Linked DNA regions of Tribolium castaneum. Each later gene encodes a partner of the first gene's protein in a complex. Links are inferred from orthologs where the notes say so. Each region holds a gene or a part of one and is shown on either strand. Other genes may lie near its edges.

Region 1 (4,394 bases):
TAGGCGAAGAATTCCAATTGTTACAATCGGAGAAATCTCTGCAACAAGTCGTTGAAAAAGTCGATAAACCGGCGAAAAAAGCCACATGTGAACTTCAGAACAGTATCCACGCTGTTGAGGTCCAACTGAGGGAGGCAAACCACATTTCCGCCCGTTATAAAGACGTGAAAAAGTCACTGTTACGCGACTCGGCCCGTTTTGAGAGCAATATCAAGCGAATTGAGGAGGAATTAGCGTTGCAAAATAACGACATTACCGAACTGCAACACGTAATGAACGAAGCCACGAAAAAACGGAGCACAGCACGTGGACACCTCCTTCGAGAGGAGAAAATTGCAATGTCAAGTGCACATTTTAGAGATAGACAAACTGTGGAAGGCCAAAGATTGGTTACGAGGCGAAAACAAGAGTTAGAGTTGCTGGAAAAACGTATTTTCCAAGTTGTGAAAGTCGCAAGAGTTGAGGAAATAATTGAGGAGGAAAATGAAACAATGCTCACAACTTTATCACCACCGGAGGAAGTTTTAACTCGGGCTTTCGAGGTTTTGAAGAAAGCGACAGGGGCCACTAACACCTCGGAGGTTTTACACAAATTTAACATGCAAAAAGACACCTTAGAACGGCTTATTTTGCTACGGAAAAAATCAGAAAGCGAGAAGAAACAACTCGAGAAGAATTTGGACGATTTAAACACGCAATTGGAGTTTTTCAAGTACGCTGAAGTGAAGGAAACTGAACGCAAGTCGCTTAAAATGGAACAAATGCTAAGCCAAATCGACGAAATCAAAAACATATCACTCAAAACCAACAATTTGAAACTGGTGAAGGATAAGACGATTCAGACGATTCTCCGATCTGTTCAAGAGTTACAAGCTTGCATTAACCCGATTTCGGTGCCAGAAAGCAACGTTTTGGGCACTTTGAAGTGCATTAAGTCCGATTTGGCCAAAATTATCCGCATTGAAAACGAAGAAAACGTAGCTTTTTTAACACATTTTTTACCATTCCTTGTAATAAATTAATTTATTAGGTCGTTAAACTTGAAGATATTGAAGAAAAGTGGTTGCCGGGACCGTACAGTGGCCTAGTACGTAGAACTCCAATTCCCCAGCCCGGGACTTCCCCGGCTCCTCCTCCACCTCCCACGGGATCTGAAGACGAGGAGGAGGTCCCGTCCAGGACTTACTTGAAACGTCAAGCCCAATTAGTCGTCGATGCGAAGTCACGGCGCAAAAATATTCGAATTCCCGCAAAAAAATAAAGGAAGTAAAATTTTTTGTGTAATAAATTTGCAAATAACTATGTGAAAATTTTCCGCTGAAAATAACAGTTAGACGCAATTACGACATAAACTGGGCACAATAAACAATAAAAATTCACGCAGCGCGAAATTTGAATTTTTTGTTTGGCGCGATTGGTTATTGGTACAAAAAACCATGGTTACCGACTATCATTCCTTAACAACCAGATTGTTTTGGTGAAAACCCGCGTGAAACGTGTGTCAAGAGCGAAACCAGAAACTATCTAATCGTGGTCATATCGCAGTTTTGATTTTTCTTTCGTTCGGTAAACGAGATAAATCTGAATCAGTCTGAATATTGAATCCGTCATTGGTTGGGGGAAGAACCACCGACATTCCAACATGTTGCTGTGAAAAGTAGTACCGAAGAAATTTTCTCACGCGCTTATCTCCCGTCTTTGGCACTTTCGCGCAATAGGTTGCACACGAATCGTTTCAGTTTGTGAAAAACTGTCCTCGGTGTGTTTTTTCCGCTGGCTTTTGGCCATTTTCCGGTGAGTTTGCCGAGATAAATCGGCGTAGGAATACAAGAATCATCCGGTGGCCATCTTGGCGCGTCTCAAACAAAGCCCCCTCTCAGAACGGAGTGTGCTGTGGTCGGTTGTGTATTGTGCGTATTTCAAGCGCTGAAAAAACGCAAATTTTCAATGAAAAACACTGAAAAAGTGGCCGAAAGCACGCGGAGAATGTGTCTAACGTAGTGGTGCGTGTGTGGAGTGTGTGCCCCATGAGGGAATTTACACGAAAATGTGGATTACTAACTGGAAGGATTATGATTTACGGATTATAGTGTCTTCCGCGGTTTTACTGGCCCTAGCGAATGTAGCAACAGGTGAGGACCACTCGTAACAGCCCCAAAACAGGACTTTCACATAGATTAAGACGGCTGTGAAGTCAAAATTTTTGACGTTTTGAGCGAGAGCAAAATGGCGCCGCCGGATGAATTTTATCCCAATTATTGCATTGCTGGACCATAATTAGGCAAATATAAAGCACACTTCCGGCATGAAATGTAAACAAAACGCCAGGTTCTCAAGTACCACTTGATACTCGCGTAAACAAGTTAAGTGACGGAAAATCGTAATTAGGGGATATCCTGAGAAATTTTACGAAATGTGCACATTGCCAGTTATGCAAAATAACCAGAAATCCGTTGGTGCACAATTTGAATCCTTGTTAAGCCGTTGGTTGCTATGGTTTTTAATGTCAAAATGTGAATCGTTGCTATGGTTCTAATGTCAAAATATTGTATCGTTGCCATGGTTTTTATTCTCAAAAATTGCAGCAAAATTAAATAAAGATGTGTAGATAATGAAGTGCTGGGATTATGTGCACTGTTAAGTGTAACAAACCTGTTGTATTTCCGCGCTGTTGTGTGTGAAAAGCGCGCGGTATAATTTTTTACTTTAACTACTTCTGGATTTTCAAGCTGAAACTTACGCCAAACGATTCCTCTGAGTGCCCTGATGACCGTACACTATGAATTTTCTTGTGCAAATTGAAAATAACATTACAAAAATAATTTTTATTTTCACTCATTTCACTTGAATCGCCATTTTTGTTGATTTTAAGGGATACAACGTTCGCCACCAGGGTGTGCATGCGTTGCGTGTGCTTATTTCTGATTGGTTGTTATTGTTTAGCTTCAACAGGTAAGAATCGCACCTGCGTGTTTGTTATGATTATAACACCTTCGGGTATTCCCAGAATGAATTTAAATGACGTATTATACCTTTTTCATTAAAAAGTAGGTGTATTTTTTCATATTTTGCAATTTGAATTTATGTCTCTGTGCTCTGATTGGCTGATTGACGGAAGTGGGGATGCATTCCCGCATTTCCCTTCATGCAACAACACAACCAACAACACCACTCCATTACTATTTTACTTACTAGTGGTGAACAAGGTATTTTTTTGTGAGTGCTACGTTCTTGAGGTTAATTTACCAATCGTGGTGTATATTTCCTTTTAGTTAGCTGGGGCGCAGCCCCAGCCTCCTGCCACGAACTGTACGGCACCCTAGCTCCATAAAAAACACTATTCCACGTGTCGAGTTCCACGTTTTCGAGTTTAATTGGTCGTGGGGTATGTTTCCTTTTAGTTAACTGGGGCGAAGCCCCAGCCACGCGCAGCATAGTTCCATAAAAACCACTATTCCACGTTTCGAGTTCAACATTTTCGAGTTTAATCGTCCGTGGGGTATGTTTATTTTTAGGTCGCTGGGGCGAAGCCCCAGCCTGCTGGGGCGAAGCCCCAGCCTGCGGGCTATCATCTGTAGGCGCCTTGCCTCATTTATAGTTATATTTACGGCTAATATCATTTATTAGAGTGTTAATAAAATTTAAAAAGTCTAGGTCAAGGTCATTCAAAGTAGAATTTTTCGAAAACGGGGCATTTGCACAAACTTTCATGGTCATATCTTTGATCTAGAGGCTTTTTAAAGCAAAATGCAAAAAAAAAATTTTCAAAAATCCAGAAGTAGCTAAAGTAAAAATTTACCAAGCGCGCAAATGTGCTAAAGATTTCAACGTTGGATGAGAAACCGAGCCAAAAATTTAATTAGTTGTGTGGCGAAAAATCTTACGTCATTTGACGGAACCGATAAATATTTTATTAATTAGTTTAGTTCTCAAGAATAATCAAGAGTTGCATGAAACCAGTTATTTAGTTCACGCAATCTGCATCTAGTGAGTGTGTTTTCGTATTCCCAGCTCACTGCGTTCACTTTGTTCTTTTTCTCTAGGGAATTTGAATTTTAATCATCGTAAAAATTATACCGAGGGAACAAATAAATATTGCGACTTGAACCCGCGCCCGTTTTAGACGAGACCACCTGTCATGACCGTTACAGAACTTTTATACATAGGGGGGTTTAAAGTACGTCGGGTGTGACGTCACGACACAGCTGTATATGCTCATACACACATGTAAAAGGACGCTTAAAGATTAGATATTTACACAAACTTTGAAAAAAAAAATAAAGAAATTGTGCAATATTACGAAAATTGGGCCAGAAAGGACCAACATAACATTGTTACCAAGCAACAGTCACATACCGTTACCATGGAAATGGTTATTTTATCGGTAAAATTTG
Region 2 (2,487 bases), on another chromosome or scaffold:
ATGATCCCAGGCCGGGGGCGCCCAAAGGGCCCAAGGGGGTGTATGGGGTGCCGAGGGCGTACGAGAGGTCGTTCAAGTGGAAGATTAGCCAGTTTAGGTAATTGTTTGATAAAAATAAAATGCGAAGCTAACAAAATTTTCCTTTCAGGTTCCTGTGTCAGAGCAACGCCCTCCCCAGCCACATAAAAATCCAAGTGTCGCGTCAGACCCTCTTTGAGGACTCCTTCCACACGATAATGCGCCTACCGGCGTACGAGCTCCGAAGGCGCCTCTACATCATCTTCAAAGGCGAAGAAGGGCTAGACTACGGCGGTGTGAGTCGCGAGTGGTTTTTCTTAGTCTCGCACGAAGCCCTAAACCCGATGTATTGTCTCTTCGAGTACGCAAACAAAAACAACTACAGTCTACAAATCAACCCTGCGTCGTATGTGAACCCCGAACACCTCACTTACTTCAAATTTATTGGGCGCTTTATCGCCATGGCTTTGTACCACGGGAGATTTATTTATTCGGGTTTCACAATGCCCTTCTACAAGCGGATGCTGGGGAAGAAACTTGTGATGAAAGATATTGAAAGTATAGATCCCGAATTCTACAATTCGCTGGTGTGGATCAAGGAGAACAACATCGATGAGTGTGGCTTGGAGTTGTACTATAGCGTCGATTTCGAAGTTTTGGGCCAAGTGGTGCACCATGAGTTGAAGAAAAACGGCGATAAGGAAAAAGTTACGGAAGAAAATAAAGAGGAGTATTTGACGTTAATGACCGAGTGGAGGATGACAAGAGGCATCGAGCAGCAAACTCAAGCCTTTTTGGACGGTTTTAACGAAGTTGTGCCCATTGAGTGGCTGAAGTATTTCGACGAGAGGGAGTTGGAGCTGCTGCTCTGTGGCATGCAGGAGATAGACGTGGACGATTGGCAACGACACACTATCTACAGGCACTACACGCGAAGTAGCAAGCCGGTGGTGTGGTTTTGGCAGGTTTGTATTAAAACCACGTTGTAAACCACTTCTATTTTTTCTTTCTTCTAGTTTGTGCGTCAGTCTGATAATGAGAAGCGGGCCCGCTTGCTGCAGTTTGTGACAGGGACGTGTCGTGTGCCTGTGGGCGGCTTCGCCGAACTGATGGGTTCCAACGGGCCCCAAAAGTTCTGCATTGAAAAGGTGGGGAAGGAGTCGTGGTTGCCGCGCTCGCACACGTGTTTCAATCGTCTTGATCTGCCGCCGTACAAAAGTTACGAACAGTTGGTGGAAAAGTTGACTTACGCGATTGAAGAGACTGATACGTTTGGTCAGGAGTAAAGTTTCAATTGTGTAATAACAGCCGTACCTGATTCTTGACCATGGTTTGAGATTTCGTTTCTTTGGGCCTCTTCTTGCAGTGCTTGTGCAATTTTTGTTAGTTTGTTTGTGTTGTTACTTCGGTCGGATTGTATTTCAATGTGATATGTAGAAATATTGGCCTATTTTCTAGCTTATCTAACAGATTATAACTAAATGTAAATACTTTTTGAAGAGAAAATAATGTGGGGAAGACTACATATTTTTGAATACGAAAAATGACATTCCATCGTGGGTGTGCACTATCATAATTATTTTTTTAATTTTATTTTTAACCAAAGTATACACTGACTGGAACCGAACTGGCTTGAAATTTCATTTACAACCTGTTTACTTTATAATCACTTGTAGAATATTGTAAAGTGAGGAAATGTATATAAATATGCGAAGCGAATTATTAAATTATTACAAGTAAAACAAGTTGTTTTATTTCTTAAAACGACCTCAACAACGTTTCTGTTTTTAATGCTTGCTTACGTGTCCAGAATATATCAATAAATAAATTTTTCTATTTTCATACTTTACAATTCAATTATTTAAAAAACTGGTCAAAAAACGGCCAAGGTTTGTTACCCAATTCCGGAAGTTTCCTTTGTTGCGGGAAAAATTTATCCTTCTCATTCTCATCTAAGTTTACCAGATTTTCAATAATTTCTTCTTTACCTTCTTTATCTCTACGTTTTGTAATGGTATATTCTTTATCAGCTACTTTTCGCGTGATGGTCGTTTCTTCATTACCCTCGTTATCCCTCACAGTATGATGCGTTTCAATAGACTAAAATATGAATAGATTGATATTAAATTTTTAAAATCATAACACGCAACCGTACCCCATCTGGATTCCTAACAGTTTTGGAGGTAACACTTTGGCCAAAAAAGCGTGTCCTCGGTACTGGCGTTTGAGAATTTTCACCCTTAAAAACCGATCCCCAATCCCTTATATCCAACCTAAAGTAAATTTTTCAACGGATTAAAACAAAACAAACAAAAATTTTATCGTATACCTGCCGTCAATGTCTTCATCTCTTTTCTCTTCAATTCTCTCCTTGGGTTTCTCAAACCCAGGTTTGAGGAATTGATCCCTTAAAGTCCCAGATTTTGGCGCGCCTTCGTCATCAGGGATTTCCTCAATTTCAAGCTGTGG

The links.
Region 2: the proteins of N (region 1) and Su(dx) are in contact, whole or in part, in an NMR structure (PDB 2JMF), measured with the Drosophila melanogaster proteins. The link is inferred for Tribolium castaneum from reciprocal best matches to the Drosophila melanogaster genes N and Su(dx). Residues at the interface, in NP_001245510.1 of Drosophila melanogaster: Lys2323, Gln2324, Pro2326, Tyr2328, Glu2329, Asp2330, Lys2333; in NP_001259898.1 of Drosophila melanogaster: Glu528, Arg530, Thr532, Ala533, Ala534, Glu536, Phe538, Val540, His542, Arg545, Thr547.

The regions. Positions count from the first base shown.
Region 1 is NC_087400.1:125,248-129,641, reverse strand, and holds the start of N (notch), read left to right. Parts: upstream 1-1,495; 5' UTR 1,496-2,047; coding exon 2,048-2,132; intron 2,133-4,394. Other genes in the region: CCDC151 (myosin heavy chain, clone 203), read left to right, coding at 1-977, 1,031-1,261. UniProt on the Drosophila melanogaster protein: Essential signaling protein which has a major role in many developmental processes. Functions as a receptor for membrane-bound ligands Delta and Serrate to regulate cell-fate determination.
Region 2 is NC_087398.1:5,358,301-5,360,787, reverse strand, and holds the end of Su(dx) (E3 ubiquitin-protein ligase Su(dx)), read left to right. Parts: coding exon 1-97; intron 98-148; coding exon 149-983; intron 984-1,034; coding exon 1,035-1,304; 3' UTR 1,305-1,763; downstream 1,764-2,487. Other genes in the region: HCLS1-associated protein X-1, read right to left, coding at 1,876-2,118, 2,174-2,291, 2,348-2,487.